4 linked regions of the Drosophila melanogaster genome follow. Changing the gene in region 2 together with the main gene of any one other region gives a genetic interaction. Each region holds a gene or a part of one and is shown on either strand. Other genes may lie near its edges.

The links.
Region 1: of ph-d (region 2) and inv, changing one suppresses a phenotype caused by changing the other (phenotypic suppression), as found in Drosophila melanogaster (one study listed by BioGRID).
Region 3: of ph-d (region 2) and Marcal1, changing one enhances a phenotype caused by changing the other (phenotypic enhancement), as found in Drosophila melanogaster (one study listed by BioGRID).
Region 4: of ph-d (region 2) and corto, changing one enhances a phenotype caused by changing the other (phenotypic enhancement), as found in Drosophila melanogaster (one study listed by BioGRID).

What each region holds. Positions count from the first base shown.
Region 1 is NT_033778.4:11,473,746-11,478,722, forward strand, and holds the start of inv (invected), read left to right. Parts: upstream 1-1,962; 5' UTR 1,963-2,230; coding exon 2,231-3,524; intron 3,525-4,977. UniProt on the Drosophila melanogaster protein: Engrailed (en) and invected (inv) are functionally redundant transcription factors in neuronal precursor cell NB5-3 specification.
Region 2 is NC_004354.4:2,115,788-2,123,699, reverse strand, and holds the start of ph-d (polyhomeotic distal), read left to right. Parts: upstream 1-1,907; 5' UTR 1,908-1,975; coding exon 1,976-2,013; intron 2,014-2,075; coding exon 2,076-3,637; intron 3,638-3,698; coding exon 3,699-4,149; intron 4,150-4,208; coding exon 4,209-6,019; intron 6,020-6,082; coding exon 6,083-6,834; 3' UTR 6,835-7,912.
Region 3 is NT_033779.5:4,953,508-4,958,807, forward strand, and holds Marcal1 (Marcal1), read left to right. Parts: upstream 1-2,001; 5' UTR 2,002-2,075; coding exon 2,076-2,842; intron 2,843-2,900; coding exon 2,901-3,391; intron 3,392-3,450; coding exon 3,451-3,601; intron 3,602-3,670; coding exon 3,671-3,835; intron 3,836-3,900; coding exon 3,901-4,183; intron 4,184-4,244; coding exon 4,245-4,439; intron 4,440-4,500; coding exon 4,501-4,716; 3' UTR 4,717-4,785; downstream 4,786-5,300. Other genes in the region: Jon25Bi (jonah 25Bi), read right to left, coding at 816-1,616; CG34124 (uncharacterized protein), read left to right, coding at 4,971-5,065, 5,123-5,285. UniProt on the Drosophila melanogaster protein: ATP-dependent annealing helicase that catalyzes the rewinding of the stably unwound DNA.
Region 4 is NT_033777.3:5,082,354-5,088,597, forward strand, and holds the start of corto (corto), read right to left. Parts: upstream 4,720-6,244; 5' UTR 3,673-4,719; coding exon 2,020-3,672; 3' UTR 1-2,019. UniProt on the Drosophila melanogaster protein: Essential protein required for proper condensation of mitotic chromosomes and progression through mitosis. Binds to specific polytene chromosome sites, many of which are shared with the posterior sex combs (Psc) protein.

The sequences.
Region 1 (4,977 bases), on a different chromosome or scaffold from region 2:
TTTTCCTTAAAAAAAAAAAATTAAGTTAGCTGCATTTTTAAGTTACCTGCATCGAGGCATTGTGCAAAGTACTCGAGGCAGCTAAGCGAATTATACTGTATTAGGTAATGTTCGGGTCTTTAGGCAAATAAATGGTAAGGGTTAAGTGACAGAAGCTCGACTGTATGAAACTATTTTCTTGTACTCCATTCCTTTTCCTAATCATACTGCGTATAATTGTTTCTTTTGTCGAGGGCTGGAAATTAAGCCTGATTAATTCGTTTGTCGGTGCTTATACTATCGCAGTGTCGGCATCTGGCATTGGCTTCTTTGTAATGGTGCAACAAAGTTATTAAACTGGCTTGGATTGCTTTGCATTTCGGGGCGTGGTTCCACCAATACGATTCGAAGCGATAATAAAGCGCGGACAGCCCGAAAAACTCCATGATTCGGGCTTTATGGGTTCAACAGCAGCGATAAAAAGATCGCTGGAATTCCGATATTTTATGTCCAATCTGTCGGCGATAACGGAGAAAAGGTGCAACTTTGATAGTCGATTTCAGATATGAAATATGATACATTAACCGATTTCGGCTGTGTCACTAAAGAGGTCCGCAGCAAATGATGCAAATGAATGCAGCCATTCCTAGAAATCTTTTCGTGGACTACAACAAAGTTTTCTGATTTAATTAAAAGAGTGATCGGCATGCCCTGCACAACCTCACTTCAAACAAGGCAAACTCGTTTTCACCCCACACATGACACACACAAAAATGTCTCAAATACTTGAAAGGAAAGCTAAATACAGATTTATGAGCACAAAGCACAGCAACAATGCAGTATGTTCGCCAATTAGACAAGCCCAAGCAAACGTATGTCAAATTTTCATTGGCGGGAGAAGGGGCTACTTAAATTGGTCAGGAATGGAGGATAATTTCCATAGTACATGAACGAAGTGACTTAAATTCTAAAAATAATGTCTTATGTAAGTAATCATGAATATCAAAGTTTGATTTTTTTATTGATATCAGATTGATTAGCTTGTGGGACCAAATTTAAATTACAATTATTTTGGCATTACTAAGAGGTCTTTAAATGCCGGACAAGGTGTTCAGTAGAAACCCAGCAAGCTGATCATTATCCCCCCAGTGCTTTTGAATCTACGCCCATGATTAAGCGTATGCAATTGCACACGTATTGGTATTCATTTACGCAGAACTATCATCAATGTTGTCCGATGGGATGTGTGAAGGCAAAACGACAACAAACAATAAAACGGCGACAAAAAAGCATCAAAAGCAATTATGAAATCACGGCAGATGTTGGGGCAACAAAAATTGTGGTGGTGATTTATAAAGCGCAGCTAACAACAACAATGACATCAAAAAGCGCAAAAATGTTCGTTGTATCGGAGCAACAAGAACAATAAGTAAAAGGAAGCGAAGGAGTGAAGGAGACGGGGAAGCTGTGGCATGTGTTGTATATAAACAGGCACACACTCCATATGTGTGTGTGGGTATATAATGCTGGACGGCGGATAGGATGCCAGCAAAAAAGGACTGCAGATGCCAGACCGCAAAGAGGAGCGAAAGAAAGGGGGAGTGAAGTGATGATGATGGAGGAGGAGGGCGAGAGCAGCCTACATAGAGTGAGATTTACGACTTAAATGCTGCAGCGCATAATCAAAACGACAAGGCGCAGATGGAAATGGAGTGGAGTTCTTATCCCTATTTTCCTTCTTTTTCGCTTTTTTCTTTTTGCGGCGACGACGCACTTAATTAACAAATATACAAACACTTAACATAACCTCAACTGACAGGCGGCTGACCGTGTGCGCGAGCGGGACAACAGTAGGGCACGCCCCGCAGCCGCTGATTGGATGTTCGAAAAGCCAGAGCAGGACGGAGAGTGAGAGAGAGCGTGTGCGAGAGAGAGTTCTCTTTTTGAATCGGCTCTCAGCTGCAGCCGTCTCGCTTTGCTATTCAGTTCGCGAGAGAATCAGTTGGTCGGCGGTTCGTAACAGCGCACGTTACGTTTTTAACGGACGAGCGGATTAACGTCGGTATCGACAAGTTTATCACCCAACCCAAAAACCAATTGTCAATCGAAGACGATAGCGCGGCGTATTTGCCAATCCAAGTGATATCTTTTGGCTGTGGTTAATGTTTTTAATGCTTTCTGGCTGCCCTGAAATGCCGTCGGCTTTTGGTCCCTGTGAACTTTCGAGCTGAAGACCTAAGCCCTCAAACTGATGTCCACCTTGGCCAGCACTCGACCGCCCCCGCTCAAGCTGACTATTCCTTCCTTAGAGGAGGCAGAGGACCACGCGCAGGAGAGGAGAGCGGGCGGAGGTGGCCAGGAAGTAGGTAAAATGCATCCGGATTGCTTGCCCTTGCCGCTTGTCCAGCCGGGCAACTCGCCCCAAGTGCGGGAGGAGGAGGAGGACGAGCAGACGGAGTGCGAGGAGCAGCTGAACATAGAGGATGAAGAGGTCGAGGAGGAGCACGATTTGGACCTGGAGGATCCGGCCAGCTGCTGCAGTGAGAATAGTGTCTTGAGTGTGGGCCAGGAACAATCGGAAGCAGCACAGGCTGCGCTATCCGCTCAAGCTCAGGCCAGGCAGAGGCTTTTGATCAGCCAAATCTATCGACCGTCGGCATTCAGCAGCACTGCTACCACTGTTTTGCCGCCCAGCGAAGGTCCGCCCTTCTCACCCGAAGATCTCCTGCAACTGCCTCCCTCCACTGGAACCTTCCAGGAGGAGTTCCTGCGAAAGTCCCAGCTGTACGCCGAGGAGCTGATGAAACAGCAGATGCATCTAATGGCCGCCGCCAGGGTGAACGCTCTCACGGCAGCGGCGGCGGGAAAACAGCTGCAAATGGCAATGGCGGCGGCGGCGGTTGCCACAGTGCCCAGCGGTCAGGATGCACTGGCTCAGCTGACGGCCACGGCATTGGGTCTGGGACCCGGTGGAGCGGTGCATCCCCATCAGCAATTGCTACTGCAAAGGGATCAGGTCCACCACCATCATCACATGCAGAATCACCTGAATAACAATGAAAATCTGCACGAAAGGGCGCTCAAATTCAGCATAGACAATATCCTGAAGGCGGACTTTGGTTCCAGATTGCCCAAGATTGGTGCTTTAAGTGGCAATATCGGTGGTGGCAGTGTAAGTGGGAGCAGTACTGGCAGCAGTAAAAATTCTGGAAATACCAATGGCAACAGATCTCCCCTAAAGGCGCCCAAGAAGTCGGGAAAGCCACTGAATCTGGCTCAAAGTAACGCCGCCGCCAACTCGAGCTTGAGCTTCTCCAGCTCGCTGGCGAATATATGCAGCAACAGCAACGATTCCAATAGCACCGCCACCAGCAGCAGCACGACGAACACCTCGGGGGCACCAGTGGATCTGGTCAAGTCGCCACCGCCAGCGGCAGGAGCGGGTGCCACAGGAGCATCCGGTAAATCGGGCGAGGATTCCGGCACTCCCATCGTTTGGCCAGCGTGGGTCTACTGCACCCGCTACAGCGATCGTCCCAGCTCAGGTGAGTCCAAGTCTCTTTAAAAATTTTGCTTCAGTTATCTAAGTTGTCTAGCGAAACATAAGTACAAATATTGATGAAATAATATTGTATATTTCTACGTTTAACGTACTTTTTATGAACTTTGTGAATGCAAATATAGTTTATGAAATTACGTTTTGGTGTTTTGAATACTAATCTTCATAAGCTTGAAAGAAAAGCCTTTGGTTTCAAGTTTTCTCGTTAACATACGATTCTCCAGCACCATGCCAGTATTATTATAGATATTCTGTAGTAGATCCTGGCAAAATTTATTTACTTGCATATGTTTCTATGGATATTTCCTGCATTTTCTAAAGCATCTTACATCTTATGCTAAAGCAGTGCACTGCTAGTCACTCACTCTTTCTCCAAACTCAAACACACTCGAGGAGACGAGCTGTTGAGTGGTGGCTCATAAAGCGGTTGTGCAAACAAGCGACAGACACCACAGAAGAGCCGGCGAACGGAGCCAAACCACAGCAACCCACAGCTCATTAGTTTGCCAACCACCGAAATGAAGTGAGTGCGAGCGAAAGGGAGGCGAACACTCACCCCGAAGTGAAGTGTCTGCTCGAGTGGTTTTCATGTCCTTATGGCTTATGTAACATAACTTAAGCTCATTATGCCGCTACACCCCACCCACCCCGTGTGTGTTTTTGTGTGTGCAGCACCACCCCAACCCGTCGAGAACAACCCCAAAACAATCTCCCAGCAATCATGGCACTCTCATGAATTTAGTTTATGCCACCGCAGGGAATTCGTAATCGTTTGCCTAATAATTTCATGGCTGAAATTTGGGGGGGAATCGGATGGGTGGGAGTGCCCCATATGCTCATTTATGGGGTGGCTTATTGCTGTTTGAACAAGCAATTCGGATTCCTTGATAGTTTTTGGCTAATCCCCTGGAATCTCGGGTAAGTCCATGGATCATGTGGTTCAAGTGGCGAATGGAGAGTGATTTAAGCCACTTGATGGCAGTCATTTGGTTAAGGTGTTTACCTTTATTAGCTTGCTCAGCTAGTTTATTATCGGTAATGAATTGCCAAAGGTTTACTCAATAGACTGAATGCATTTTATCACAGATACTTGATATTATAACACAATATTAAAACGTTTAAGACCTTACTAAACTTTGGTGTTCAACAGAGTAGTTGACAATAGCATTATTCAATTACAATATCAGCCTTAAATGGGCATATAATTACGAGAGTTACTTTATCTTTAACTAGTTAAATTTAATTGCTTTATTAAGTATCATTGAATGCAATTTGTAAGATTGCCGAGCTCAGCTGTTTAAGCACTTACGACAGTTTTTAGCCAATTATCCACACGTTTTATAGATCTTAATACACCAGCTTGAAGAAAGTAACGTTGAAATATCAGTAAATAATTGTAATTCATCCATCAAAAGTCGTCCCTTCTAACTACCTGATTC
Region 2 (7,912 bases):
TTATTTTGTTTTCACAGTGGAAGGGGGCGCACAGTCGGGGTGGTTGAGCACGCATACACATGCCCGCCAGCTGTAGTCTTGATTCCTGTTTTTTTTACTCGTTTTGGTTTTGCTTTGTCAACTGCTGCCGTTTCATTCCAACCCCAAGCGAACGCACGGCATCCCGCTCGCACGCGCTATCTGACCAGGGCCACTCCTAGTGGCGTCGCACTCGCACCCGTGCATTTCGGTATAGAGAAAAGTTATTAGTCGCAACGGTATCTGAGAGGAGAGAAGCGGATCCAGCTGCACACCAACACACACACACACACATTCAGCACACATGCGCTCATTTTGTTTCCGATCCGAGCAAAAGTAGAGTTGTCGCTGTAGCGCGCGGTTCAGTTTGAAACTTAACTTGGCGGCGTGCGGTTCTTGCGCTCTGCTCTCTTTGCGTTCGTGTTGGTGTGGTGTCGATGTGTCGCATACCGCATGTGTATTGAACGGGGGAAAAAAAAAGCGCCGACGCGACGCACACACACCCTACCACCGTTTCGTAGTATTTATTTATATATTTATTTTTGGCGATCAATGCAAATCGGTGCTGACTATAAGTGATTAGTGAAAACAATTAATGCTGTGCGGCGTCTAAAGTTGCGTCGTTTTGAATGTTAGGCATGTACAGGTGCCTCCAAATATACAATAATACAGTACAGCAAGGAAAGCAAAAATGAAAACGGTAAAACATATTTTTTCTGATGAGACGCTGTCGTCGGCGCATGCTCTTTGCCTGTTGTTTGCGCCGCATTGTTGTCATTGCTCCCTGCCTCTTCGTTTTCTCCTTCTCCTCTTCCTCTGTTTCTGCCTCTTGCAACTCAATTTTTGGCTAAGGGAAAAATCAAATAATGATGGCATTATTGTATGCCGCCACACGCACATGCACACACACACATGCACATATCGTGGCGCGGTAGAAAGAAACCAGTCTTTCGGTTGCAAGTTGAAGATGCTGCTGTGCCTAGGTTTATTACCCCCCTTCCAAATCCGTTCCGCTCTTAGCCTGCCGATGGAAATGGAAGCCAAAATCCACCCCCGATACACACCAAATGTAACTGAAACTCCTAACTATTATTGGTGGCGCCGGTTGCTCCTTCCGCTCCTCTGAGCCGCGGCCATTTCTTACTCCTGGACAACTGGCGACAGCATTTTGAGCGCCCAGCTTAGGTCTTTGAACCTGTCCCCTTGGATATCACCATGATGGCTTATAACCATCGCCCAAGGGCCATCCGTAAATAAAAGTGGTCTCCCTTACACCCACTCGAACTTCCTCTCTGCGTAGTAGATGGGAGGAGGTGATGGAGAAGGGGAATATGCAGCAGAGAGCAATCCTACTATAAATAGATGTTTCGGGCACAGGCAACGCTGACAAGTGACCTGCTTTAGGTGTTGGTGTGCATGCACATATGAAAAACAGTGCACTTTTAGTGGGTCACGAATCATGAACAAATTAAAATATTTATTTACCTGTTCCGTAAAAAGTACTGAATACACGGTGGGGCTAGTGTTGTACAAAGTTGTAGCTGCAATCATTTGTAATTTCCCATATAATATGTTGGTGTTTAAGCTTACCACGTCTCACCTAAACAGTATCCACTGTAAGTAAATTACCTCGTGAGTGAACGATCATCCAAAACAAAGTGTATCTCTCGTTCCCTTCTCACATTTTCGTCCCGACTTTGTTTTCGTTTTCGTTTTCTTTGGCGTTTTTGGACCCAGATCGATCCCGTCTTTGTCTTTCTCAATGGTAGTGCGTCCCTGTCGCACCCCCTTCTTTCTTTTTCTGTTCCTCGTCCCCCTTTTCGCGTTGGAGAGCAAGAGAGAGAGTCTTTGGCGGGAGTAACATGCAGTCGCAGTTTGTTGTTGTGCGGTTTGTTCGTCAAGCGCTAAGAGAATATGAATAAGAATATAAATATAAATTTAAACATGAATATGAAGCATGCCCCACGGATTCGGAGCCGCGCCAAGTGTGTCCGTGTTTGTTTGTGTTTAAAGCAATTTACTGATAGTCTGTGTGCGTTTCCTCTTTCTCTTTCCAGCAGTGGGGACACCGAAAGTGAATCAGCAACAACAATACGTACACCACCACCTTCCCCGGAAGCCACCACATCTGTAAAGGTCAACTCCACCACTCGCGTGGACCCCCAGCGGCCACTAAGGTGCCTGGAAACACTCGCCCAGAAGGCAGGCATCAGCTTCGACGAGGACTTTGCCAAGAGTCCATCCCAATCGCCCAGCTCTAAGGCAGCACGTGGGTCAGTCGGAACGCCATCAATCAGACGGCGCCACCCACTACTACCGCTCAGCAGCAGATCGCCAAGCGCACCCGACTCAAAGACAACCGGCCGCAAACTGGAGAAGTCACAGAGTCCAGCTCAACAGGTGGCGGCCGCCACCAATGTGCCGCTGCAGATCTCCCCCGAGCAGCTGCAGCAGTTATATGCAAACAATCCCTACGCCATTCAGGTGAAGCAAGAGTTTCCCACGCACACGACCAGTGGCAGTGGAACTGAACTAAAGCATGCAACCAACATTATGGAAGTTCAGCAGCAGTTGCAGCTGCAGCAGCAGCTGTCGGAAGCCAACGGTGGAGGAGCAGCCTCGGCCGGAGCCGGAGGAGCAGCTAGTCCGGCCAACTCGCAGCAAAGCCAGCAACAGCAGCACTCCACAGCCATCAGCACCATGTCGCCGATGCAATTGGCAGCGGCCACTGGAGGAGTTGGCGGGGATTGGACACAGGGAAGGACGGTGCAGCTAATGCAACCCTCCACCAGTTTCCTGTATCCCCAAATGATTGTGTCGGGAAATCTGTTGCATCCAGGAGGCCTCGGTCAGCAGCCAATCCAGGTGATCACCGCCGGCAAGCCATTCCAAGGCAACGGCCCCCAGATGCTTACCACCACGACTCAAAACGCCAAGCAAATGATCGGTGGCCAAGCGGGATTCGCTGGCGGAAATTACGCGACCTGCATTCCTTCGAACCACAATCAGTCGCCTCAGACGGTGCTCATCTCGCCGGTGAATGTCATCTCCCACTCGCCACAGCAGCAGCAAAACCTTCTGCAATCAATGGCCGCCGCAGCTCAACAACAGCAACTTACCCAACAGCAGCAGCAACAGCTTAACCAGCAGCAACAGCAGCTCAACCAGCAGCAGCAACAGCAACAGCTGACTGCCGCTCTGGCCAAGGTGGGAGTGGATGCGCAGGGCAAGCTGGCCCAGAAAGTGGTTCAGAAGGTGACCACCACCAGCAGCACGGTGCAGGCGGCGACGGGTCCTGGATCTACTGGGTCAACACAGACCCAGCAGGTGCAGCAGGTTCAGCAACAGCAGCAGCAGACCACCCAAACCACTCAGCAGTGCGTGCAGGTTTCACAGTCGACTTTGCCAGTCGGTGTGGGTGGACAGTCTGTTCAGACTGCCCAACTTTTGAACGCTGGCCAAGCGCAACAAATGCAGATCCCTTGGTTCTGGCAGAATGCGGCGGGCCTGCAACCCTTCGGCTCCAATCAGATCATCCTGCGAAACCAGCCAGACGGAACCCAAGGCATGTTCATTCAACAGCAACCGGCGACGCAGACTTTGCAGACCCAGCAAAACCGTAAGAATATTGTCATGTATATTGCATCGGATAGGTACTAAAGTCAACTATCTTCCTACAGAGATTATTCAATGCAACGTGACGCAGACGCCCACTAAGGCACGCACTCAACTGGATGCACTTGCTCCCAAGCAGCAACAGCAGCAGCAGCAGGTTGGCACTACCAACCAGACGCAGCAGCAGCAACTAGCGGTGGCTACTGCCCAGTTGCAGCAACAGCAGCAGCAACTCACTGCAGCCGCTCTGCAGCGACCAGGAGCCCCTGTCATGCCCCACAATGGAACTCAAGTGCGTCCGGCCAGTTCCGTATCCACACAGACTGCCCAGAACCAGAGCCTGCTGAAGGCCAAAATGCGCAACAAGCAGCAGCCGGTGCGCCCCGCTTTAGCCACATTGAAAACCGAAATCGGTCAAGTCGCAGGACAAAATAAGGTAGTAGGCCACCTGACCACCGTGCAGCAGCAGCAACAGGCGACGAATCTCCAGCAGGTGGTTAATGCGGCGGGCAACAAGTGAGTATTGTTTGTTTATTATCTGCCTTGTCACAGTACTTATTTTTGCATCTTTCCAGAATGGTTGTGATGAGCACAACGGGCACTCCGATCACCCTGCAGAATGGACAGACCCTTCATGCAGCCACTGCGGCAGGAGTCGACAAGCAGCAACAGCAGCTACAACTGTTTCAGAAACAGCACATCCTTCAACAACAAATGTTGCAACAGCAAATTGCTGCCATTCAAATGCAGCAGCAGCAAGCGGCTGTTCAGGCCCAGCAACAACAGCAGCAACAGGTCTCTCAGCAGCAGCAGGTTAACGCCCAGCAACAGCAAGCGGTGGCGCAACAACAACAGGCAGTCGCGCAGGCTCAGCAACAGCAGAGGGAGCAACAGCAGCAAGTTGCCCAAGCCCAGGCGCAGCATCAACAGGCTCTCGCGAATGCCACTCAGCAAATCCTTCAGGTGGCGCCAAATCAATTCATCACGTCCCACCAGCAACAGCAGCAGCAGCAACTTCACAACCAACTGATACAGCAGCAGCTACAGCAACAGGCGCAGGCACAAGTTCAAGCCCAAGTGCAGGCTCAAGCGCAACAGCAACAACAGCAGCGAGAGCAGCAGCAGAATATTATCCAGCAGATTGTGGTGCAACAGTCAACTGGAGCGACTTCTCAACAGCAGCAGCAGCAACCGCAACAGCAGTCTGGACAGTTGCAGCTTAGCAGCGTGCCGTTTTCGGTTTCACCATCGATGACGGCGGAAGATATTGCCGGAATAACATCCAGTGCCCTACAAGAAGCTCTCTCGGTGTCTGGCGCCATCTTTCAGACAACCAAACCGATTACTTGCAGTTCCTCTACGCTCCCCACAAGCAGTGTGGTCACAATTACCAGCCAGAGCAGCACTCCTCTGGTCACCAGCAGTACGGTGGCCAGTATGCAGCAGGCTCAGACGCAAGGTACTCAGATCCATCAACATCAGCAGCTAATCAGCGCCACTATTGCCGGAGGGTCTCAACAGCAGCAGCAGCAGCAGCAACTGGGACTACCTTCACTTACACCCACCACGCCCTCACCTACAACAAATCCCATTCTGGCCATGACCTCGATGATGAATGCCACCGTGGGTCACCTATCCACTGCCCCACCCGTTAGTGTTTCTAGCACCGCTGTCACTCCATCGTCTGGACAGCTGGTCACACTAAGCAGTGCTAGTAGCGGTGGAGGAGCAGGCTTTCCAGCCACGCCCACCAAAGAGACACCTTCAAAAGGGCCCACCGCAACCCTGGTGCCCATTGATTCGCCCAAGACTCCTGTATCAGGAAAGGACACCTGCACTACCCCCAAATCATCTACTCCTGCCACTGTTAGCGCATCCGTAGAGGCCAGTAGTTCCACAGGCGAAGCCCTGTCCAATGGAGATGCCTCAGATAGGTCTTCCACGCCGTCAAAGGGCGCTACCACTCCCACCAGCAAGCAAAGCAATGCAGCAGTGCAGCCACCGAGTAGCACCATTCCCAACAGTGTCAGTGGGAAAGAAGAGCCGAAGCTGACAACCTGCGGCAGTTTAACGTCCGCAACATCAACATCAACCACGACAACGATCACCAATGGGATTGGAGTAGCCAGAACGACAGCCAGCACGGCTGTCTCAACCGCTAGCACAACCACTACCAGTTCTGGCACCTTTACCACAAGTTGCACCAGCACAACCACAACCACCACGTCGAGTATCAGTAATGGATCGAAGGATCTCCCCAAGGCGATGATTAAGCCGAACGTCTTAACTCACGTCATCGATGGCTTCATCATCCAGGAGGCCAACGAGCCATTTCCCGTCACCAGACAGCGATATGCAGACAAAGACGTCAGCGATGAGCCGCCAAGTGAGTATAAACTTCTGGTACCAATGCTTTTTCGCAATCTTAACGTGTCATTCCTTCGCGCAGAGAAAAAGGCAACCATGCAGGAGGACATCAAGCTAAGTGGAATAGCATCAGCTCCAGGCTCGGATATGGTTGCTTGCGAGCAGTGTGGAAAGATGGAGCACAAAGCAAAGCTGAAACGGAAGCGCTACTGTTCGCCAGGATGCTCGAGGCAGGCAAAGAACGGCATCGGTGGAGTTGGATCAGGAGAGACGAACGGCCTGGGGACAGGTGGTATAGTTGGGGTGGACGCAATGGCATTGGTGGACAGACTGGATGAAGCCATGGCTGAGGAGAAGATGCAGACAGAATCATACCAGACAGTATCGGACGCTTTGCCAATTCAAGCGGCTACGCCGGAGGTCCCACCGATTTCGATGCCAGTGCTGGCGGCTATGTCGACATCTTCACCACTTTCGTTGCCCCTGACATTGCCCTTGCCAATTGCAATAGCTCCCACTGTGTCACTGCCAGTGGTTTCAGCTGGAGTGGTTGCGCCGGTCCTAGCAATACCATCCTCGAATATAAATGGATCCGATCGCCCTCCCATCAGCAGTTGGAGTGTGGAAGAAGTTAGCAATTTCATCCGAGAACTGCCTGGTTGCCAGGACTACGTGGACGACTTTATACAGCAGGAGATCGACGGCCAAGCGCTGCTGCTGCTCAAAGAAAACCATTTGGTTAACGCCATGGGCATGAAGCTGGGTCCAGCTCTCAAAATTGTGGCCAAGGTGGAGTCCATTAAGGAGGTCCCGCCAGGCGATGTAAAGGATTAAAAACACGCAACAAAGTCAAGGTTTCAAAAGACCGCTTTCTTTAGTTTCCCGCGTTTCACCTAAATGTAACGACATTTACTTCGTGAGCGAATGTGATCAGACAGAACAAAGTGAATCACGTTCCGACTCACCACTTCTCACAGCACGTACACCCTAATCATCAGCTACATGCACCTAATCTACAAAGGGAACTCCCCAGAGAGCAACCGGTGCCTGGAATCACTGACTCTGTTGCGAGGCCCATCCCATCCAGAATCTATGCGAGAAATCCATAATTAGGTGATGTAGTTGTTTTTCCCGCACATGACGAAAGCAAGGAATATGACCCTCCTTCGGCGCCGAAGCTGCAGCTAGTTTAAGCACCCCGATCAGACCCCAAGATTGTGGCAATAGTAGAGTCCATGACTCTGTGCGACGAAAAGGACGGGGAGGTTATAGGACCGCTGGCGCCACCGCCGTTGGATCAACAGTCTTCAGCAGTCTACCAGAGTCTGAGGATAGGAGCGGGCAGTATCCTGAGCTTCTATTTGACCATGCTGATCTCCCACGACCTTTGCATGGACCTTTGCCTACCTGTGGACCGGGTCCAACCGGGTCTGCCACCCAAGCTGAATTTGATTCACTTGAAGCGGACTTTCAATCCTTTTGTACGTAATCTAAACATAGCAAGAGGGGTAATATCGTAGCTCAAATGACAGGACGCCACATGTATGATAGAGCATAGACTGCCATCCCAGTCATCAATTCATCACTTTGTATAGAAGTTCACAATTACTCATAATCACTAACGTATTTATTTGAACGTTGTTAATCATTTCACAACACCCTATGCAAAGAACATGAAAAAATCATTTGAACTAGAGGTAATCTGGGATTATATTTACGTAGTTAGAATTAAAACTTAAGCCTGAAGTAATTCCTAAGTGAAACTGAATTGAATCCAACTAAACCTTTAATTTATTGATAAACTTAGGTCGTAATGAGTAACGTCTGAAGAATTTTTGCCTTTATTGCAAGGTTCCGAAAACGCTGTCCAACTTTTATAGATCAAATCAGTGGTCGGAGTTTAATTTTTTTT
Region 3 (5,300 bases), on a different chromosome or scaffold from region 2:
GAACAGGAGCGCACAGAGATTAGGGCACACGTCCTGTGGTCATTCAAAAGTAGTATTACAGTATAATTCGCTTAGCTGCATCGATAGTTAGCTGCATCGGCAAGATATCTGCATTATTTTTCCATTTTTTTGTGTGAATAGAAAATAGAAAATAGAAAAAAAAAAATTAAGTTAGCTGCATTTTTAAGTTACCTGCATCGAGGCATTGTGCAAAGTACTCGAGGCAGCTAAGCGAATTATACTGTACTTAACGTTCGTAAGTGCGCTACATTGTTTAGGTTTTAATATTAAACGCACTCCCATTAAAGTTATTAAAATTAAAATTTAAAACAATAAACTAAACATTTACAAGTAAAAAGTGAAATATTTTAAAGACGAAAGTTGTATTATTTTTTAGAAATATATTTCATATATTTAATAAATATATCACTTCGCTTTTGTGATTTGTCAGTATAATAATCCTTTGGAATATATAATCTTTTGGTAAATATATATATTATTTCATTATCTGATTATTGACTAGTATAGACCACAGTTGCTAGTATTCCTACTTATGTCTATCATGGCTACATATATAGTGTTTAATCATGTTTTCCAGATAACAAGTGTTCGATTGCCAAGAAACCATCCCATTTCTTAGCCATTCATGGCTTCTTATCTATAAGACGTTTATTATAGATTCGGATTCTGCATGACTAGACTTTTGAAACTTAAAAATATCCATGTGATTTTTTAAATGTAATAAAACCAGAAACATAAAGGCGTCAAATTAATTGTTATGCATTTCGTTTATTTAAAAATAAAGATAATCAAGCTTAGTAGTAAGCAACGCCGGAGTTGTCGCGGATCCAGTCCAGCTGGTTGGTAACACGGGTGAATCCGGAGGGCAGGCCAGCGGTGCAACCGTTGCCGGAAACCCAGGAGGTGACACCCACCAGGCGGCCACCGTCGTGGAGAACCAGGGGGCCACCGGAGTCACCGGAGCAGGTGGACTTTCCGCCGGAGGTGGACACACAGAGGATGCCATCGGGCTGGGTGCCGTAGGTGCGGGAGCATTCCGAGTTGCTAATGATCTGCAGGTCGACGCACTCCATCCAATCGGGCTGGGATCCGGCGGTGGTCAGTCCCCAACCGCAGGCGACGGCCCAATAGTTGTCGTACATGTTGTAGCGATCGTTGAAGCTGGGCAGCTCCACCTTGTTAACCATGTGCCAGAAGTCCACGTGGGGGGTGCGGATCAAGGCGATGTCGTTGCCGTTCTGGTTGGGCCAGTTGTGGTTCTGGATGAAGTCGCCGCTGCCGACGGTGTGGGTGAACTGGGCGTTGGTGCGCCAGGTGGCTCCGTAGTAGATGGTCACCTGGGAGGCGCCGTTGGTGCAGTGAGCAGCAGTCAGGACCCAATCGTGGGCGATGATAGAACCACCGCACCACCAGCCGCCGTTGCCGCTGAAGCCCAGACCCACGGTGTAGGGAGCCTTGCCCTCGTAGGCTGGATATCCGTTCACAATGCGGCCATTGATCTTGGTGTCCTTGGGCAGGTCCTTGGGATGAACCTGCTGGACAGTCTCGGCGGAGACAGCGGCCAAAGCCAGAGCCAGTACAACGAACACTTTCATGGTGATTGGATCAATCGTGGTCTGCGCCAGACTTCCATCCGTTTTTATTGCGCCCCTTATCGCTGTCTGGAGTAGCCCCCACTCGGCGTTATCCTATCTCTAAGAAATTCGCCCTCTGATACCAATGGAAATTAATTGATAGCACGTCTAAGAACATCTTGATAGGCAAAAAAAATAATAACTCGCTTTTAGGAAAAATTCTAAGCTGATTATCTTCGCTTACAACCGACGTAGGCAATATAAGAAAACAGAAATGATTTTAATTTAATTTAAGGACTAAATAATTTATACATAATATATACATAATAATGTATACATAGAGTATGTAAAATGTAAAAATAATTTAAAATAGGCGCCCAATGTAAGATGTAAGGATTGAAAAATGGCTCACCTGGTCACACAGAGCCATGCATTTATTGTTTATATATTCCGCCAAATTTTATCAATTGATGTCGCAGCATGTCCACTTGCAGTTCATCCGAGATAGCGGAGAAGAAGCGCATTGCGCTGGCCAAATTGCAGGCCAAGAAATCCCAGCTGCTGGCCAGCGCACCCGCAACCAATGGAAAATCAACAACGTCTGCAACAGGTGCGACGCAACATGCGAATAATGGAAAATCAAATCCCAATCAACCGCAGGCCAAATCCCCATTGAATTTCTACCGATCACCGACGGGGGAGCAGAAGAAGATCAACAGGAGCGGTCCCACGCCCGGTGACAACAAGAGCTCATCCTTTCTGAACGCTCTGAAAGCAATCAAACAGACATCCAACCGGGAATTGTCCCGCGGAGCAGCACATCCTTACCAGCGGCCAAATGGAGGGAACGAAAGAAACAAGCCCACTCTTTCACTGAGTTCGGATAAGGAGAAACCGGTGGCTGTGCTACTCGGAAACTCCATCACGTGTAATCTCTACTTGATCAGCACACATCGGTTTGCTGCCCAAACCTCAGGATATCACGAACAGCTCGTGACCGTGTTCAAGAACATGCCCACCAAGTGCTACGATGGCCAAACCCGTATCTGGAGTTTCGATCTGTCGGACTACCAATCCCTGAAAACTCATGCAGCGGATCTAAAGCCATATGTTCACATGAATGGCATTCCGAAGAAGGTGCTGGATCTCTGCGGCCAGCCGCCAGTAGTTCCGGAAAGAAGTGTTTTAGCTTCCATAGAACCGAAGCTGGCGGACCAGCTAATGCCCTTCCAACAGGATGGGGTATGGTAAGCATTGCTTGTATGCTATGTACTTCCAAAAGCGCTAAATTTATCATATGTTTAGCTTTGCCATAGCCCAAAAGGGACGCATTATGATCTGTGATGAAATGGGCCTGGGCAAAACCTATCAGGCCTTGGCCGTAGCCGACTATTTCAAGGATGATTGGCCCTTGCTTGTCTGCACCACCGCTTCTACGAGAGACAGTTGGGCGAAACACATAATGGATCTACTGCCGAAGGTGCCCATCCACTATGTCCAGGTGCTGAACAACAATCAGCTATATGTGGGTGAGGCCAAGGTGCTAATCACCAGCTACAATATGATGGAGCGACACGAAGATAAGCTGATGCAGCGGAAGTTTGGTTTCATCATCTTCGACGAGTCGCACACGCTGAAGAACAGCAAGGCCAAGTGCACGACAACGGCCAAAAGACTCACGGATCAGGCGAAGCGGGTGGTTTTGCTATCCGGCACACCGGCTCTCTCCCGGCCATTGGAACTTTTTACGCAACTGCAAATGATTGATGGCAAATTCATGAATTTCATGGAGTTCAGTATGTCAAGAATGTCTGTTTACCTTAGAACGCGCTTATATCGATTAACACATTCACAGCTACTCGTTATTGTGATGGAAAGCAGTCAACTTTTGGTTGGGATGCCAATGGTCAATCGAATTTGGAGGAACTGAAGGTCATACTTCACCTTAAATATATGCTGAGGCGAACGAAAGTGGAGGTGCTGCCTCAACTCGCTGAGAAGAACCGGTGGGTTGTTCACATTGTTGTATATCTATAATATATTTTCTAACATTTCGAACATTCTTCCATCCGCAGTGAGACTGTCGTCCTGGATCCCGCCCTAGTGTGGACCAATGCGGAGACCAAGGAAACCTTGGATGCGTTTAACAAAGAGCTTAAAACCGCTAAAGGCAGGGCAACGGAAGAGATCTTACTCCGTTTCTATGCACGCACTGCCGAAGTGAAAACTCGAGCGGTCTGGTAATAAAAAAAATCATTAAAACCATATAAACCATCTGAAGTTAATGTATTATCCTGCATTATAGCGCCTACCTAAAAACCTTAGTTAAGGAGCAGAAAAAGTTCATTATCTTTGCCCACCATCGTGTCATGATGGACGCCATTAGCGACTTCCTCAGTGGATTGAAAGTACACTACATACGTATTGATGGACAAACGCGTAGCGATCACAGGTCGGATTCTGTGGACACGTTCCAAAAGAAGAGCAGTTGTAAGGTGGCCCTGCTCTCCCTAAAAGCCTGCAATTCAGGAATAACGCTAACTGCAGCTGAGATCATAGTGTTCGCTGAACTGGACTGGAATCCTAGCGTAAGCTTCGCTTATATGTTAACTTGGAGAACGCTTAAATTTAGTTTTATTTTATGTGCAGACTCTTGCCCAGGCGGAGAGCCGTGCCCATCGCATTGGTCAGACAAAACCGGTGATTTGTCGCTATCTGATTGCTCACAATACGGCAGACGATATAATCTGGAACATGCTGAAAAATAAGCAAGAGGTGCTTAGTAAAGTGGGCATCTTTGCCGAAAATCTTCAGAAAGCAACACACACAGCAGCACCCACTTCAGTAAGATACATTTTGAATACTTTGAAAAATGTATTTTTCGCTAACTCAACTTTTTTTTTAGTCCCACAAGATCGAGGAGTACTTCTCGCCCTCCACGTCCACCTCCCTTGAACCGGAAAGGAATAGCATAAAACAATATTTTTCAACTATTCCAGCTAAAGAGCCGCCTGAGCAAAATAATAATACAGAAATGACCAAAGTAAACAAGGCTGAGTCGGATATCGCGGCGTTCTTTAACGATGATGATGATGAGGCTTTTTTGGAATTAGATATTTAGATTGTGTAATGGAATTTAATCCTAGAATGTTTATTGAGTTAATCGTAATAAATTGTATTTGAGAATGTTATAGCATTGAATGAAACTTGTTGAACGCACTTCTGCGCATGCTCCACGTTTGCAGAACTCTTTTCAGATAGCCGGTTTCATGTGACCTGGCAACAGGCAAACAAACACTCAAGTAAACCTTTTCACTTGTATCAAATAAATAAATACACAGCAAGTTAAGTTTTGTACAATAATAGCTAAATAATATGGATACTACGCAGGAATCTGATCTGCTGGGCGAAGAGGAGGAGTTGGAGAATGAGAACGACGTATCCTTTCCGCGTGATATCGTCAGTGTAGAGTGAGTACGGAATTGGAAGTTGATAACTTTTTCTTGATTGGAAAACTTCTGCTGCAGACACTCCTTTGGTTACGATTGTAAGAAGCTGTTTAATTTGGTCCTTGTGGATTCAGACACGCTGGTTTTTGCCTCTGGAAACTTCCTCAACTACTTTAGCATTTCGCGCCAGGAGATTTCCTTTCAGGAAACGGTCTACGGCTGCGGAGTGGGCTTTATAACGGTGAGCTTTTTAGTA
Region 4 (6,244 bases), on a different chromosome or scaffold from region 2:
TAATGAAATGACTTGTATGTTGAATAAGTTATGGATTAATATGTGGTCTGGCCATTTCTTCGACTAACCGATGCGTCTAAACTGGTCCCACAAATTCCTGCAATGGTTCCGTCGTTCTGCAATTGGACTAAAGTCTTTTCTTTCTTGAATCTCGAGTGGATTGCGACCGCATGGTCGTGGAGTAGAGTCGGACTTGTTTGGATGTAGGGCAGCCTAAAGCGGACAGATGAGTCAGTGCCGGTCCCCCGGCAGCGGATGTCGTTCATTTCAGTTGAAAACTCTTTTTTGGCTTAATTAATTCGACGATTGGCTTAATGGCGCGCTGAATCCTCAGCGGGTTTTCCTGCCCATGCATAAATTACTCAGCTATTTGCTTTCCGGAACCCAGCAACTCCCATGGAACCGCGCCAATCGCCTCGACATGCAATCAGTAATGAAAGCACACACTTTCCCGAGGGACCTTGGGGGCGAGCAAAAACAATTTCAGCTGATAACATCTCGCGTTTCCTGGCCACTCGAAACCATTAGATTTTGCTGCGTTTTCACCTCGCAACAAAGACCAAAATTAGAGCCGTAAGCACTGAAGGCAAAGGCAGTTCGGTTATATCACTGTAACGAATGAACTTCGAGAATGCTGGTCTTTGAAAGGTAAGTACAGTGAGGCCGCTGGTGGCGTGAACAAGAACGTATTTAAACTTCTAATCGAAAACAAAGGCGTAAAAGCGAAATAACCGACGTCGTGGAACACATATATGTACATAGAGTGGAAATCAACATCTCTCGATATCGTAGTGTGTTGCCAGATTTAGTCCTTCAACAGCTGGCTCAAATACATTAAATAGTATATAAGTATCTAAGTATAAGATATTAATAGTGAAATTTCAAGAGACGTCCTCATGTCTAGCCATAAATCGGAGCCCTGTAAGTTTTCGAAATTCGTCTCAGCTCAACGGTTTGCCATTAGCGAGGGACCCCTGTGCTGTGCGCCGAGGTCACCCCAACCCGCTGCCCGGTCCTCCATCAATGACAATAATCAATCACGGCTCACCGCAGAGGAGGAGGCCATGAGGCGGAGCAGAATGAGGAAACAAAGGGAGCGAAGATGAAAATCGAATCAAGGCGAACAGAAAGAGGAGTTAGTCGGTCGGTGGTGGTGGGAAGTGTGAAAAGTTGGCCACAAAAGCCGACGGCAAGGGGAGTTTTCCTTGCCGCGGCCAAATCACTTGAACTATGCTTTTCTTGCTCGCTACGTTAATTGAAAACACAATTTACTTAATTTTTGCATATCTCGCTTCAAATTACGTTGCATAATTTTGAATAATTTTTATTCGTATTTTTTGTGTTGCTTTTTTCTGCTTTACTCTTCTCTCTCCATCGTTTGGTAATAATTTTCCTTTCATATTTTCGTATTCTTTCGGTAAATGGTTGTTGTAACATTTTGCTGATTTGTAATTAAATATGCGTATGTGTAACTTTTAGCAATTGTTTTGTTTAATGTTGCTGCCGTTGTTGTTGTTGTTGCAGTTCTTGTTTTTGCCGTTGTTGCAGTTGTTATTGTTTATGTGGTTGGCTTACACAGAGCGGTTGCTGTTGTTTCTTGTTGGTTGTTTAATTTAAATTAAATTAATTACTAAAATTATTTTATAACAAATATCACTACAATAGTTTGCATTTTTTTTTTTTGTTGTTGTTTGTTTTTGTATCGTTTATCAATTACTACCATTACTAAAAGAAAAAAAGATCGCTCATTTCCTCTTTTCTCACCGTCGGACAACAATTTCTCATAGCAGCTAGACAGAATTTTGTTTCATCTCTTAATATTTTTAGAGTTAATTACTTTTGATTCTAAAAGCTTTGATGGGTGTGTATATATAGTACTGTTTTAGGGGAGGATCTATTAATTATTCCTTGAGGCGGCTATTTCATCGACGCGTACTTGGTAGGCGCCTGTCTCATGTGTTGCAAGTTGCTGTTGCTGCTGCTGATGTTGCCGTTGTCCTGGTTGCTGCTGGTGCTGCATCACACGTTGTAGCAGGAGATCTGCGGCAGGTGCTGGAATGTGGGCGTGGCCGCCACCGCCGTGGCCGCCGAACTGAACGGCACAAACGAGGTCTGGCCGGCGGCAGCGGCGGCGGCTGCCAAGTTGAGCGAGGCGGCCGCCGCGTACGGGTGCATCCGCTGGGACCGCAAGTACTGGCGGTACTTTCCGCTCAACTTGTCGGTGGCCGTGTTCACTGCTCCCGTCGCCCCCGCACCACTCACCGCCCCGCCTCCGCCCACCGACGCCGACCCGCCCGAGGCCGCTCCGGCGGTGGGCGTGGCCGAGTAGAGGCGCATGGGATTGGTGTCAGGGCCGGCCTGATAATTGCTAGGAACTGTGGCCATCGGCGAGCGGTCCATCAGCATGGACGTCGCGTCCCACGGCGGCGGAGGCAGGCAGTGTTGCTGTTGCTGCTGTGGCTGCTGCTGCTGCACCTGCGACTGTTGCAGCTTCCCCGAGGCGACCGCCGTCTGTCCGTAGCTGCCGGAGATCATGGCGTCCCGCTTCCCGCCCCCTGCTCCGCCGCCACTACCCTTGGCCGCGTAGTGGCTGTGGGGATGCAGCATGTGGTGCGGCGTGAGGGCGGTGCGGGCGGCCAGCGCAGCCAGTTGATCCCACTGGCCGGCGGCTGCGGCGGCTATCGAGGCCTGGGCCGCAGCTGCCGCCGCTGAGTTGGCTGCATGGCTCTGGCTCTGGCTCTGACTTTGGCTTTGGCGTTGGCTTTGGTTGCTGCTGGCACGTTGCTGCTGCTGCTGCTGCTGTTGCTGCTGCTGGTGCTGGCGGACCAGACTAGACTGTTGCTGGGGATAGTGGGCCTGCTGCGACATCTGCGACATCTGCTGGTGCTGTTGCCGCAGTTGCTGCTGTTGCTGTTGGTAGCGTTGCTGCTGTTGTTGCTGCTGCTGGGCGCTCGTAGCCGCCCGGGCTCCACGCCGCGCGGCACTACTGCTGGGCGCCGTGGCCACCGCCGCACCGCTTCCGCCTCCGCCCAGGGCCGCTCCGCTGCTCAGCGAGCTGCTGCTCACCGCCCGCGCGGTCGCATGCATGTTGTTCACGAACGGGCTGCGCCGCTGCGACTCCATCTTGCGGAAGTAGCACGGGTGGATCATCAGCAGGGGCTCCACTCTCTGGCCCGCCGGCGGCTTGGGCTGGTTGGGCAGCTCGTACTCCACGCTGCAGTCCACGTGCAGCGGGATGCTGTAGTCCTTCTGCGGCGATGGAGCGGGGGCTGCGTTGCTGTTGCTGCTGGCAGTCTGCTGCTGCTGCTGCTGCTGTTGCTGCTGTTGTTGCTGTTGTTGTTGTTGTCTGCTGTTGGCAACCGCGGCGGCGACCTGCGTTTGGGTCGCCGCCGCATGGCTGTGGCGCGAGTTGCTGCTGCTGCTGGTGTTGGCGGGCTGGTGGTGATGGCGGTGGTGTTGCTGCTGCTGCTGCTGTTGCAGCAACTGCTGCTGGTGGGCAGCCACGGCGGCGTGGTACATGTGTTGCTGCTGCTGCTGGTGATGATGCTGCTGCTGCGTCTGGCTGTGCTGCTGCTGTTGCTGCTGCTGTTGCTGCTGCAGGGCGGACAGGGCCGACATGCCGTGCGACAGGGACGACATGTCGTAGTTGGCATAACAGGCGGCCATCGTCATTGCTGTATTCAGGGGATCTTTTAGCTTTTGCTCTCGTTTCGGTAACACAGAATTCGCTTTTGGTTTGCTTATTTACTTAGATTTAGATTTTTATCATTTTGCGGATGTTTTTCGCTTTCTTCACTTTCGAAAAAATTCACTTTTGTGGTTTTATTGGCACTGGTAATCCAAAAAGAGCGGCTAACGGTAAATTTGCCGCTGCAGGTAATCCGTGAGTTGGTTGTTGCTTTTGTTTTTGTGTTTTGAGATAGGAGGAACCTTAATCCATATGTGTGTTTGCTTTGCTTTGGAATTCGCTTTAACCCGTATAATATTAGCTGCTGTTCGCGTGTTTAACTTTGTTTCGTTACGTTTATTGTATATTTATTAGCGTTTTAGTCAGTCTTTGTTTGGTTTTACATAAATGCAGCGAACAGTTGGAGCTGCTGGGTGAGTGTGAGTGCGAGTGGGTGCGCGTGTCGGGGTGAGTGAACAATCCACGTGTGTTTTCAGTCTTTTTGCCCGTTTTTGCTGGCTAACTTAACCGTTGCTTTTTAGCTACTCCTTGTCTTCTTTCCATTCGGTTATGCTCTGTTCTGTTCTTTTCTCGCGGGGGTGAGTTCGCGGAGTAGGTAACTTGTTAGTTCTATGCGCAATAGAACTGCCGAACGAACGTCTCATCCACTCCGAAGAAAAACGCGATCTGAATTGTAGTTTCTGCTTTGTAGTTTTGCTGCCGCCGCTTGCTTCTCTGCCGCGGTCTCTGCCGACGTTTGTAAGCGCAGCGAGTATGCTGAATACGGAGCGCGCACGAAAAACAGCTGTTGGCTAGACGCCTACGCCTGTGTGTAGGCTTTGCTTTTATTGTTTTTGTTGATTGTCTGCCGATTTACTTATTTTTCGTATCACAATTGGCTGCGTTGCGTTTGTTTTTGGGTTTTAACTGCGTGTTCACCTTCGACGCGACGTTGAATCTTCTTAACTCTCTTCTTCGTTAATTACGTGCCACAGACCACGCTTTATCTCCTCCTATGTCCGCACGAATCGAGCTCTTTGAAGCGACTGACTCGAAACGTCGTCTTCGCTCCATTCTGCCGACGCCTACCTGCTGTTCGGCACAGCTGATGTTCCGTGACGTATTCAGCACACACACAGTCGCAGGAGACGAGCGCAGAGTTATTGTTATTGTTGCTTTCCTATATAAATTGCATTCAATGGCCGCTCTCTCTCCCTCTCTGTGACCGCTCTCTCTGTGCCTGCGTGTGTGTGTGTGGTATACATTCAGCCATGTTACTACACGGCGGCCATCTTTACAACTGCTTTGGTCGAGACAGAGAGAGACAAAGAGGCGAGAAAAGAGCGAGAGAGCGCACATTATTTTGTAATACGATGTCTTTAACCGTTTTAGTGCTTTAATTTTTTACGGCAAACGCATTTTTGGGAGCAGCTTTATGGGGTCGTAAAAGCAGATGGGTTCTAAAGGGGTTAACGGCGAGTTGAGAGCTAATTGAGCCGCACTAAAAACGGGGAGTTGAATGAATCTATCAGCATCACCTGGTTAAAATGGGAATGGGTTATTTTTACTTATGTATTTCTGAGCACTTTGGTACACCCCTAAAACTTAAAACCCATATAATATCAACATAAGCAGTGTGATCTCCACACAACTGCCTAAAAATCCTCTGCGACGCAACTTCGAACACACCTACGTAGTTCCTTAATATAAGAATACAACAAATACCCCAAGAACCTCTCCGGTTTTGGAATACGAAAGCTAAACTGCGCACTGAGAGACTTTCTGCAGACCAAAAAAGGAAAACAAATTGCAAAAACTCAAACAGACAGCGATATTAAACATTTCTGTACTAAAAAATGGGCAATTTAAGTCAGGAAAGGGCACTGTCTCGCTCGCACACACACAGCGAGAGAGCGAGAGAGAGTGAGAAAACGGCTGGGAATTACACACATTGTAATAAATAAGGAAGGTCGTTGCCATAGCAGCCGCCGTTGGCGTCGTTTTTTTCCCCCCATTTTGTTGTTGCTGCAAGAGAGTGGCTCGCTCTGTGGGGCTCATTCAGCAACTGCTGATAACAAATCAGCTGTTTTGTTATTTGGGGAGGTGTGTCCGCGTGCGAGTGTGTTGGTGAGTCTGGCTGTCTCTCTTGGTACATATTTGTTTTTTTTTTTCTCAAAGCATATGTTTGTTGGAATCGCTGTTGCAGCTGTTGTTGTTGTGGGGCTGAAAGTTGTTGCTGTCAAGTTGCCATTGCATTTCAGTGTTGTTGCTATTCGATGTGCAAGTAAAATGAAAACCTATGTGGCGGATTTGCATTGAAGCATGTCTTTTAATCCAAAAAGTAAAACTAATGCTTCTTATTGTCTACTAAAAACTAATAATTCGTATTATGTGCTAATTATTCTAAGACTCTTAAGAAAGAACATGATTGGTGCATGTATACAAGTTAATGGATACTATTGTTTGATAGCCTTAATGATTTCCTGCTTTTCTACTGTTGTTGCCATGGTTTTGTTAATGAATTGTCTTCATTGCATCTGGGATTGTGGATGGTTTTTGGAGTCTGGTTTGGGTTAA